Linked DNA regions of Danio rerio. The protein of the gene in region 1 interacts with the protein of each later gene in a biochemical or structural test. Links are inferred from orthologs where the notes say so. Each region holds a gene or a part of one and is shown in the gene's direction. Other genes may lie near its edges.

Region 1 (4,331 bases):
GTATGTAAGATTTTTGTTTTACTTTTTTGTTTTTGTTTTTTGTACAACAGTACCTCCAGCAGAAAAGATATCCAAAGATGCAATTTTAAATTGTATATAAATCTGTGATTTAATGAATTATTTAATCTGACATGTTTACTGTTCCAAAATATTTTAAATGTTTCTCAAAATAAAATATGTTTGTTCCAAATTTTATTTTATTTTTTTTAAACCAGACATTTAAAAAGAACATGTTTTGGAGCCACAATACCATGATATTTTGAAACCGTGCAACTATGCAGTGACATTTTAGGGTAGTTACTGTCCCTGAAAAAAATGTTTTATTTTCCAAGATTAAATTTCAGTCGAAGGAGAACTTATTAAACTATAAGAAAAATATACAGGTGCAGCTAAGGATATTACGGTTTATCATTTTTTACAGAATTTTCACATGTAACACAGGCTAAATGTCCCCATTACAGAAAATTCTCATATCTTTTAGAAGGTGTTTCAAATAAATAGTTTATGTAATATTTACATTTTCTAGGAGCTAAAATGTTTTTCACTTTACCAATAGTATAGTATAGCAATAGTATTTTTTAAAGGTATTACTAAACAAGAATTATCTCAAAAAAGACTTGTTATATGGCACTTTGTAAATGTAATGTATTTCGAGACTGCAATGCCATTAAATCCTGTTGGTTAGTTCTTTGGATGCAAGTAACCAAAAAACATTTGTAATGTGTATTGATTTTATTTATTACCATGAAAAAACTATATAGTTAGACAGGAGTAACAAGGTGGACATTATAATAAGTGCTACGCTTTGTTTTACTCTCTATTGTCAGCACTTTCAACTGTTTTAAAGTGTTTTATAAATGAAATTGAAATTAAATAAGAAATAAGGTAAATTGTTTGCCACACCCTCGTTCGATTATCAATAACAAAATGATGGCAACTGAATTATCAAAAAAAAAAAAAAAAAAAAAAAGCCAAATAAAAAACAAGGAATATTTGACATTTTATACAGAATGCAGGAAAAAAAATAAAAAAGTAAAAACAGTGAAATCATTACATGTTGTTAAAATATTACATAAAATAAAATAAAAATTATGTAGCTTTTTAATCATTAATTGTTGAGTGAGTAAAACTGTATTTTAAGGCAAATTAATCTTTAGTTTAACTCAATCTTTCAGAATTCTTCCATCGTGATCTGCACTAGAAGAAACCAATTACAGTAATAAAAAACCTCTAAAGTTTTTCTTATATTTCTTTCTGCGTCTTTCATTGGATGTCGATTTGAAGCCACACATCAGTCCCTGCCTCTGGGAGGGCAGGAGTTTTTCAAACGCACCTATTAGCAAACAGCATCTTTCGCATTCTCAACTTTCTCTGGTCGAAGTGGTTTCCAAGGCCAGCTACGTCAGCACAACCCGTGCTTCTGATTGGTCAAAACGCTTTAATTGTTGAGCACGTGAAGTCCTTCTCACATTCTGATTGGTTAAACGTATTTCGAACTGCTGCTTAGACGAATTGTATTTTTGTTCCGTGTCAAAGACTGCTAGCTGATAACAGGCTACAGTAGCCGTCAGCAGCAGCAGACTAGCTATCAAACAAATCAATTACCGCAGACGAAATTAACACCACGTTGGATTTAAAAAATCTTTACACGAGATATTTGATCTGAAGACAACGTCGCATTGAAGTTTCACAAAAGGCAGCTCTGGAGAATAGCTAGCTATCCCACAGTTAGCCTAGCCTGGTTTGATAGCAGCACTAGCAAGCCGACCGACATCACAGTGAAAATTGGTTTTGGTTATTTATATAATAGTCAGGCGTCTTGGAATACTTTGCTATCTTTGATTGGTTGCAACTTTTAGATTCGTTATCGTTTTGTTCCGTCAGTCCGGTTACAGATCACCGAATCCGTCAAATCGGCCGGTTGAGTGTCAGTTCTGCTAAGTTCTCCTTTGGGACAAATTTGCTGCCGATTAAAAAATCCAGCACGCCTAAAAATGGTAGGTTCAATTATGTATTGTTTACGAGTGATTCATCAAACTGATTACAACAACAACAACAAAACAGCTTTACTGTTTATTTGTCTTACTTTTTAGTCGTTCAGCTTGTTTTGAGAGACTCTTTACAGTAATGTGATTTAAACTCAAATATGCTTTGATTGTTAAATTGACAGTAATTATAAGCACTGTATTATGCAGCATTAATATTTTTTTACGAACGTTTGTTAACAAAAGGCTTTTTAACTTTTTCTCGCGTTAATGCATCACTAATGTCGAATTGTGTGGCATTTGTCATACTTTTTGTAATAAAGCATTATATTAAAGTAACTGGGTAATTATTACTTTATCCTAACTAAAAGTTCCGAAAAATATAATTTATTGTTAAGTGCTTGATTACCAGACGATACAAGCTCAGTATGATATACGTCGCACAATTGTTCCACTTTTTTTCTTCGTGTTTTTGCTTTTTAATTAAATAAATGTGTATTTTATTGTGGATAAATGAACGAAATTCCACCTATTTTTGTTGTTTGGTGAAGCAGATGTGCTAGGCTCTTGTTTTTTTCCATTATATTATTTATTTTGATTTATTACATTTGTTTATTTGTTTATTTTAATAGTAGTGATACTATCAAATAACTGCTTGCTTACTGTATGTGGTTTCAAATGAAATTATTACTCCATCATTATTGTTTTTATTACTATTACCATTAATAATAATAACTAATGTTAGCGTGATTTTTGAAGGATCATGTCACTCTGGAGACTAAAATAATAAAGCTGAAATTTCATCATTAAAATCACTAGAATAAATTATTAAATTATGAATTACTTTTGAACGGTTATTTTACAGTGCAATAACATTTCACAATTATGTAATTTGTTCTGTATTTTTGATTAAACAAATGCAGCCTTGGTGAGCCACATGAGCTTATTTTAAATCATTGAAAAATCCTACTGATCCCAAAATCTTCACCCGTAATGTATGTATTATGTATCAAGTTTATGAACTTGTATAGGCTAAAGTTTCTTAAAATTAATAATTTTGTATTATTTTCTAAATAAAAAGTTTTCCCCACCATTTTTTAAATTTTGCAATTTGTTACATTTGACATTTTATTGTGTGCAGAATTCAAATGTGGAGAACTTGCCGCCTCAAGTGTTGAGACTCGTCTATAAAGAAGTTTCAGCTTTAGCAGCAGATCCTCCTGAGGGGATCAAAATCTACCCCAGTGAAGAGGACATCACAGAGCTGCACACTTCCATTGAGGGCCCAGGCAAGTAGAGATTATCACAGTTTCCTCTTCTCAATGAAAGCCGTGATCTAATCATTGCACTTGCAACTTGTTTTCCCCCGTCTTCTGCTCAACAGAAGGAACTCCATATGCAGGTGGTGTGTTCCGGATGCGTTTGGTGCTTGGGAAGGACTTTCCTGCCGTTCCTCCCAGAGGCTATTTCCTCACAAAGATTTTCCATCCTAATGTTGGGCACAAGGGTGAGATCTGTGTCAATGTACTCAAGAGAGACTGGAAAGCAGAGCTGGGCTTGAGACATGTATTGTTGGTAAGTAATATTTTATTCTTTCTGAAGTTCTTTCAAACATTGACTAAATTTTTTTTCCCTTTTGTTTCATGGTCAGAAATTCCCTAAAACAGGGGTGTCCAAACTCAGTCCAGGCAGGTGTGTTTAGGGAAGGCCCTCCAGTACCGAGTTTGGACACCCCTGCCCTAAAATATAAGGTTCTGCAACATCTTAGATTTACCAGTTGAATTAATAAATCTAAACTGTAATTAAATATGTGCGTGTACATGGACATACAGTGCCCAGTATATGAGTACACCCCTCACAAATCTTTTTAATGTTTTCTATAGGATGCTTTACAATATTGTATTTGTACATATACATTTGATTATTCAGTACTGAAGCAAAATCTGGAGCTAATCTAAAAAAATAACTTAAGGTAGCAGTCCAAAAATTAGTAGCCCTAATCTATATGTTTAGGGAAAAATCTAAAATCAAAATTAAAGAATGAAGAAAATCAAAAGAAACAAAAAATATATATTTAATTAATATAATTAACAAATTGTAAATTGTGTAGTTTGTAATTTGTTTGTTTTTTCCAATATTTTGCATGAATTTAATGTGTTATCTTTCTATTTCTAAAGATGTTCAGTCACTAAAATATTATTTAATAAATATATACGTTTAATCAATCTGTTTTGCTGAAATGAAATCACTTTCAAAACCCCTTTTACTATCTTTCTGAATGAAATGCCTACTTTACTACATCCATTCAGCTTGCAGCAGAAAAAACAAGCCATGCCCACTGTTTTC
Region 2 (4,203 bases), on another chromosome or scaffold:
GACGAGGTTGCATGCTGAAAGAATGATGATGATTTCAGTGTCAACGTAGGCCTATTCAGCATTGTGAATGTGCTTTACTGCAAAACATGCAATATAATGCAAAGCAGACATGGGTCACATGCTTAGCTTTTTATTTTATTATTCTATTTTAAATATCTGTTCATTCTAATGTCATTATTTTTTATGATTTTTTTTTCTTTTTAGATGATTTGGAAATAGACAAAAAGTAACTGAAAAAAGCTGCTTAATTAATTATTAGCCACTCTCAATTTAACACTTAAAAATACATTAATCGTTATTTATTATTCTTTTTTTAAGCTGGCCCAAACTTGATTTAAACTTTAAAAATAGTATATTGACAGAATTTGCGTTTATTGATTTACCCGAAATTAGCCATTCTGAATGCTGACTGAATTTTTTTAAATATATATATATATATATAGCCTAAATAAATCTTATATTTTTGCATATTTCTAAGTCCAAGCAAGAATATATTAGCTCAACTTATATACCCACATGAAAAAATATAGGCTATACATGTTTTTGACATATATGAAATAAAATGTGCTATTACTGTAAAATAATAATATGGTAATAGAAGAACTAATGATATATACCAATCATAATATATAAACTTAAATTTTTTTGTAAGATTAAAAGATTTAGAAAATACAATTTAATAAATATAAACAAATAGTACTACATTTTTACAACTCTGGCTATTATATTACAATATATCAACGTTTCTTTAGTAAAAATTATATTACATATGTTTACAGTAGATTATCAGTTAATACGGCTATGCTCAACTAACAGAGTTGTTTTGAATACTATAGTATAAATATTAATAGGCCTAAAATAGTAGCCTTTGGTTCAAAAGCACTATATTATTTATTATAAATCACTTTAGTATTTTTTTTTCATGTGGGTAAGTTTGTTTCTACAATATTTTTATTGTATTGGGAATCACAGCATATTGGCTAATTTATTCAACAGATAACAATTGTACAAAAGTTCTGAAGTTTTTCCAACATAGTTTGTATTTATATGATCAAAATGTGCAATTCTCCACGTTTTTTAAAAAATAAGTTGGATATAGTTTCAAGAAAAGAAGTTTATATGAGTTAAATATAGTTAAAGTTCAAATATAAGATACATTTTCAATCAAATACATACAGAAATTTCGAATGAGGGAATTATTAGCATGAAAAATTAAATAAATTGATTAAAAAAATGTTTATTAAAGTGTTTATTAAAAATGTTCTACATCGCAGTATTTTAAAACATCCAGCCAGGGGCCTGTTAACAGACAACTCCAGCTAGAGGCCGATCTGCGTGTCTGCAGACCAGCCTATCTCAGCCATTTTGTTTCTACGCCTCTTCGCCATGGCGGAGATGGACGACGGTGATGAGCCAGGTTTAGGACATTCTCACAGCGGTTCTTCTGGGTCCAAATCAGGGGGAGACAAAATGTTTTCCCTGAAGAAGTGGAACGCGGTGGCCATGTGGAGCTGGGATGTGGAGTGTGACACCTGCGCTATTTGTCGCGTTCAAGTTATGGGTGAGTGTTTTTTAGCTAACCGGCTAGCCGATAGCATTTCTAATCATTCTCAGATAAACAGACCAAGAATGGAGGCTGATGAATTTGATAATATCTGCCTGACACACGACCGAGTCGTTTTCAGCAATATAACACACTGCTGTCTACCGAGACAGAATTTGTTGAAACCTAAAGTGATGACATAAATGTTTACTCGAACATTGGAAAGTGCATATAATGCATGACATACTGTTTAAATGCGACGAGCAAATGCATTAATGCTTCAAAACAGACGAGAATAGAAACATAGAATGGACATTATATGTAAATATTAAACTTACATTCAAATCCATATGACGTCTAAGATATGTTCAATAATGTATAAATTATGCAAATATACATGTGAAGGGGAAAAACATTAGTTTATGATTAGTTTAACAGTTTACAGCAAAATGGAGATTAGGTAGGCAGTTCACATTATTTGGTCAAGTCAGTGTAAATATTCAGACTATAATAAATGTGCACAGTCAGACTGTGATTTCATATGATCTCAGCAAGTCTGTCCTGTTTAAAAGCAACTGTGAAGTTAAAACTGTATAAATCTTATTATGAACAATTAAGACTTTGTAATATCTAGACTAACCAAAATGTCAAAATTTGACCCTATAGGAAAAATGACTTTCCTCTGCTGGCATTCTTTTTTTTCTCTCTTGACATTTAGTTCGCTAAAACCCACTCCTGCAAAATGGCATTTGTCAGCCTTTAAGTGATTGGGTTAAAGTTGGTTTTATATTTGCACATTTGGATTTTATCCATAATTTCAGGAAAGCGTTCTTTGCCAATTTTAAATAGTTAAGCACAGCAGCCAGTCAATTAAATAGTACTAATGTATCATTTTTTATAATATTATATATCATTTGTAATTTCAGACTGAGCAATCAAAGTAGCATAATAAACAATATAGAGATCAGGTCAGAAGAGGTCACTCTCAAAAATGAACTAATGTGCAAATATAAAACCATGTTTGGTGTACGTTTGGGCAGACCTTTTAAATTCCAGTCCAGTAGTATCTGGATGCAGACTTCATGTCTCAGCTTTGCAATATCAGACACAATGCACTCAATGGAGCTAGTGACGTCACTGTTGCAGCTCAGCTTGCAACTGCACCAAGTCTGCAGTCAGACCACTGTCATATATTGGGCAAATGCTTCACTAGCTGCCTTTAAACTGTGCGAATGAACAGACGTCACAATAAAACAGACATCACAATACCAAAGAAAGAAAACTCTCCGTTGGTATTTTCTTTTTAATTTACAACTGTATCTGAGTTTTGGTTTACTTCTAGCACAATATATAAATCCCAGCAGGTGTTTTTGAATATGTCTGATTTACTCCATTTCAGATGCCTGCTTGAGGTGTCAGGCCGAAAACAAACAAGAAGACTGCGTTGGTAAGTTAAAGCCCATGTGAAATCAAAATGTACCATGTTTATTGTGCTCGCACACATAGTTAATCTTTAGGTGAACGATTAATCAGTGCATGTTAATCCACTGGGGACATTTTTTTTGGTAATTCTGACCATTTGCTTTCATGCTTGGAGTGCCAGCCTTTATCTGTTGACATCAGCTCAACTGCTTCACTCATAAACAATAATATTAGCCATGCCCCTCTTACAATTACTTTGCTATGGGGAAATAATGTGCAAAAAGAAAGCCCCAACCCCTACTTAATATTTTGTTTCAGTTGGAAGTACATCATCATACTAGTGATGGTAAAATGAAGCTTTCTGAACAAGTGAAGTGCTCGACTCAATTGTATTGGAAAAAGGTTCGTTATAGAGGTCTGCATTCCCGCGGGCGCCACAGGACCCGACCAGATTTCTGCGGCGCGGGAATAAATTTCCAAATAAGTCGCGGGAGCGGTCGGTAACAGGTTTAATTTAGGACGGGAGCGGGCTGTCTAGCAATATCGCGGATATTGCTATGTGAATGAGAGAGAGAGAGAGAGAGCTTTGCCTGTGTGTGTGCTTGGTGCTTGTGTGTGTGTGTATGTTAGTGCGCGCGCGAATGAGAGAGAGAGAGAGAGAGCTTTCCCAGATAGCAAAATACACTCAGGCCAGTTCCGGCTAGATTCTCGCCTGCCAGAGACTTACCACTCAGCCCGGCTCTGGCTGCCGGACTCCGGATGCTTGTGGACTCACTGCCCGATTCCGGCCCGAATCAATCGGGCCAGATGCGGCAGCCTTAAGCAAACCGACGCTGCCGCATCCCTGCCGGAATCGGACCGATAGTAATGTGCGCTGCGGCCCGGAGCTGGCGCGACTCAGTATTTATATATCTTTATATAAAACCTTTTGGTATTACATTGGTACTTGATACATGGTATTACAAGCCTTTGAGTTGATATAACAGCAAACGCCTGTGTGTCTGCTTGGTGCTTGTGTGTGTGTTAGTGCGCACGCGCGCGTATGAGAGAGAGAGAGATTTGTCTGTGTGTGTGTGCTTGGTGCTGTGTGTGTTTATACAGACAGCTTGGCTGTCTGGACTGTATAGCTGGGGGATTTTCAGTTTTGTTCTCCCCCGCTCTTTAGCGGGATCGGGTGTGGCGGGCAGAAAACGGGGCGGGTCGGGCAGGGGGACAATAAATTCTTAATATAAGCGGGA
Region 3 (4,293 bases), on another chromosome or scaffold:
CACCCCGGCCTCTGACTCGTGTAGCACCGGGCAGTTAGCACGTTAGCACATTAGCGCGAGTAACTTTTACTCGTGTAAACAAGTTAAATTACATACCGAACTGTAGTTTGTGTCTTATCAGTGTTATATTAATACGTAATTTAAAACAACATCGATTAAAACACCCAGGAAATTCGTTAAAACATTTAATTAACTATACCTGATAACTGTCAAAATATGCAACATAAGTATTTGTCATATAACCGATGTCATTACATTATGATGGTGAAAAACATTATAACTTACCCAAAAATTCGATTAATTTGATGATAGATCTTAATTAAGTTGATTAAAGTCGGATTCATTTATGAGATCTGCGCATGTGCAGTAGGCAGAGTGTGTGAATAGCGCCAAGTGTGTGTCAGGGTGCAGTACCGCCATCCGACTACAGGACCGCTATAGAGCAGTGCGCCGACACACACTTACACACTCAATTCAGGTAAATGGTCAAGGTGGGGATCAGTGAAAAAAACTGCACTAGGCATATCAGCAACGCCCCCTGAGTCTTTTAAAGGCAAAACATAGTGGGGACCGGGCGATCGGTCCCCACTATGTTTTTGGTCCCCACTTTGTGAGTGTGCTATCATGCTGAGGTCCCCACCATGTAATAAAAACAAACACACACACACACACACACACACACACACACACACACACACACAAACTGGTTACAACGAAAGTTTAATGTGTGAATTCGTTTCTCTTAAATTTACTAAGATTTACGTTAACGTTACCTCTTCCTGTCTGTTCATCTGATCCTCTTGCCGACCTTCCATTTCTTGGTAGTTTAAGTAACGTAATACAACAAGGACACAAACAAACATAAACAATTGTACAAGACAAAAATAAATAAGTAATAATTATAATTGTTATAATCACCTTTTTCAATTGTAGACTGGGCATATGTAACTTAGCAGAGCTATACGTTAAACGTATAAGTTAAAGATGTAACTTACCCCAAAGTTTTCGTTCAGATAGCAATTTTTAATTCACAGTCCTTTAGCGGAAATAATTAACGTTTTTTTCGCTTTAGATTCGGTATATCAGAATATTTAATGCTTTTAATTTAATTTCTGTTGATGACAATTTAGCACACGAGTGGCTTTCCCTTTGCATCTCTGTTGCTAGGAGAAGCTAAACACTTCCGTCTTTTTCGTTGTTGGGTAAAGTCTAGATGGGATACAGCTGAATATGTTAGTATCCGAGGCTGTATCCCTTTTGGGCTTTAACGGCATTTCTTCTTCGTTGGAACTCAAACAGAGGTGTAGAAAAAATAAACAACGACAATTTTAAAAAAAAAAGATTAACTTGTTAATTTTTTTGTTTATTATTTAAGGATAAATGTCTATTTACATCTCCAACACTGTAGGTGGCGATGTTGTGGTTTCAGCTGGCTTAAGGGAGCGTGAAGAAAAGCTGAGCATAAATGCTACATTGTGCTCACTGCTCATCATACATGTTATGGATGTGAGAACGTAACAGTAAGTGATCTTACTTCTGTTTGTTAGTACACATAAAACGATTTGCTCTCGGCCATGCACGGGGAATGCAGCATATTTAGATTAGTATTATGTTCACGTTAACAGACCAGTGTTTTCACTCATATCTGCGCTGGTAAGGGTTGATATGTAATTTATTCTAACAAAATAAGAGTAATAATTACGGAATTACATTTGTTTGATGTGGCATTATGATGAAATGTATTTCTAAATATAAATTGGAAAAAAAAAGATCTAATATAATATTATAATCTAACACTGTTTTTCCCAAAGTGGGAGTCCCTTGGTTGCCATCAGCCTTTTAATTATTATTTCTTCATAGGATTGGTGTTTATGTTAGATTGCAGCAATATTGTCAGCTGCAGCAAATTTTAAAGCATCAGGTTAAACTTTCTGACACCTTTATGGAAATAAAATAACTTGCATTAAAAATAAATACAGGCCACAACAGAATATTGGGAATCATCTCTGAGTGGCGGTCTATAAAATAAAACCAAGTATAGACTTGTGCTGAAAACATTGTGCCCTCCAATCTCTTTAGTTGAGGTTAATATCAAATTAAACAAACTAATAAATTACTTTAAATATGATAGTCGTTAGACTGTTGCACTTTTTTCTGTTGTCAATATGCTCGTGTTTATATAGGCCTATTGCTGTATGTGCAACACTAGTATATTTATAACCACCTCCAATCAATCTGGGGGTTGCGAGTGACTGGCATTTTGGGAAACCCTGATCTAACAGGTACATGAACATTGTATTCATTCAGTCTGTAAAGGATCCTACTTATATTTTTAATCATGATTATAGTCTCCATAAAATGTTTTGCAGTTAATTTCTAATCCTCACTAAGAGCTAGAAATGACGTGGAAAACCACTGGTTAAAATCTGTAGGACCTTGCATGGTAATAACATGTGGTACACTACTAAATGGAAGTGATTATTGCTTTTGAAAAATGTGTAAATAAATAAATCTGCATTGTTTTTTTTGTGTGTTACAGAAGGAATGAAGGTTAAAATAAAGCAGTGGAACGGTGTGGCATCCTGGTTATGGGTGGCCAATGATGAAAATTGCGGCATCTGTCGGGCATCTTTCAATGGTTGCTGCCCAGACTGTGGGTAACCTGATTACACATCACCCACAAATACTATACTCTGCCATCTTTGTGTTTTAAGTTTTACGATAAAAAGCAGGTTTATCATAAAACAGTGTCATTCCCAGTGGAATTTCAATAGCAACATGTTTTAGAAATTTTTGGTTCATGAAAGTAACATGACATGAAAGTGAAGTGACACATGGCCAAGCATGGTCACCCATTCTGTTGCTGCATCCAAAATTGTTTGGGATAACTTTTGGTGATGACTTTTGGTGACCCAAAGTTATCCAACATGTGCGCCCGATAGCTCCCCTCCTTCCGCTCTGTGAGAAAAGTTGTGGTTGTTGAGTGCGTGACATGTCCATCATTCAACACTTCATTTTACCGTTTGAATGAGTGCATCATCCGGGCAATTAAAGTGCACTTATTATTTTTAGAGATTTCAGTGTGACAGCACTAGTCTACAGAACAAACCCTCATTATACAATAACTTGCCTTATTACCCTATCCTGCTTAGTTAACCTAATTAACCTAGTTAAGCAAGCCTTTAAATGTCACTTTAAGCTGTATAGAAGTGTCTTGAAAAATATATATTGAATAAAATAACATTTACTGTAATCATGGCAAAGATAAAAGAAATCAGTTGTTAAAAATGAGTTAATAAAACTATTATGTGTCTGGGGAAAGAAAAAAAAAAAAAAAATATATATATATATATATATATATACACACACACACACACACACACACACACACACACACACACACACACACACACACACACACACACACAAAGAGGGTGGGCCATTTATATGGATACACCTTTATAAAATGGGAATGGTTGGTGATATTAATGTCCTGTTTGTGGCACATTAGTATATGTGAGGGGCAAACTTTTCATGATAGGTGGTGACCATAGTGGGCATTTTTAAGTCGGCCATCTTGGATCCAACTTTTGTTATTTCAATAGGAAAAAGGTCATTTGACGCATCAAACATATTGGGAATTTCATGAGAAAAACAATGGTGTGCCTGGTTTTAATGTAACTTTATTTTTTAAGAATAGTTATATTAAAACCAAGCAAGTTTGATGGGACAATGATCCTTTTCCTATCGAAAAAACAAATTTGGGACAAAGATGGCCGACTTTAAAGTAGCCACTATGGTCACCACCCATCTTGAAAAGTTGGCCCCCTCACATATACTTATGTGCCACAAACAAGACATTAATATTACCAACTATTCCCATTTTATTAAGGTGTATCCATGTAAATGGCCCACCCTATATATATATATATATATATATATATATATATATATATATATATATGTGTATGTATATTAGTGGAAAAAATGCATATATTTCTTCTTTTTTTTTTTTTTTTACTGAACCAGTCTGCAGTAACGAAAACAGGAGACTCATTAGAAACAAACAAATGGCCAACCAAAAAGTTACTTGGGGTTATACAAGGAGTGGCCAACACAAAATATATACATTACTGATCCGAGTCCCATCTCCCACTCAATACACTACAATATAATTATAGTATAATAAATACAGCACTAAAACATAAAAGAGAGAGAGATCAACTTATAATGTCACTGGCCTTTTTAGTAATAATTTGATCATGTATAGTTAGAAATTACTGTATGGCGTTT

Evidence for each region.
Region 2: the proteins of ube2s (region 1) and rnf7 form a complex in vitro, tested with the Homo sapiens proteins (3 studies listed by BioGRID). The link is inferred for Danio rerio from reciprocal best matches to the Homo sapiens genes UBE2S and RNF7.
Region 3: the proteins of ube2s (region 1) and anapc11 form a complex in vitro, tested with the Homo sapiens proteins (31 studies listed by BioGRID). The link is inferred for Danio rerio from reciprocal best matches to the Homo sapiens genes UBE2S and ANAPC11.

What each region holds. Positions count from the first base shown.
Region 1 is NC_133191.1:14,031,428-14,035,758, reverse strand, and holds the start of ube2s (ubiquitin-conjugating enzyme E2 S), read left to right. Parts: upstream 1-1,514; 5' UTR 1,515-1,994; coding exon 1,995-1,997; intron 1,998-3,126; coding exon 3,127-3,274; intron 3,275-3,369; coding exon 3,370-3,560; intron 3,561-4,331. UniProt on the Homo sapiens protein: Accepts ubiquitin from the E1 complex and catalyzes its covalent attachment to other proteins. Catalyzes 'Lys-11'-linked polyubiquitination.
Region 2 is NC_133193.1:44,703,734-44,707,936, reverse strand, and holds the start of rnf7 (RING-box protein 2), read left to right. Parts: upstream 1-1,383; 5' UTR 1,384-1,386; coding exon 1,387-1,561; intron 1,562-2,942; coding exon 2,943-2,990; intron 2,991-4,203. UniProt on the Homo sapiens protein: Catalytic component of multiple cullin-5-RING E3 ubiquitin-protein ligase complexes (ECS complexes), which mediate the ubiquitination and subsequent proteasomal degradation of target proteins.
Region 3 is NC_133181.1:24,269,213-24,273,505, reverse strand, and holds the start of anapc11 (anaphase-promoting complex subunit 11), read left to right. Parts: upstream 1-1,461; 5' UTR 1,462-1,520; intron 1,521-2,539; 5' UTR 2,540-2,544; coding exon 2,545-2,653; intron 2,654-4,293. UniProt on the Homo sapiens protein: Together with the cullin protein ANAPC2, constitutes the catalytic component of the anaphase promoting complex/cyclosome (APC/C), a cell cycle-regulated E3 ubiquitin ligase that controls progression through mitosis and the G1 phase of the cell cycle.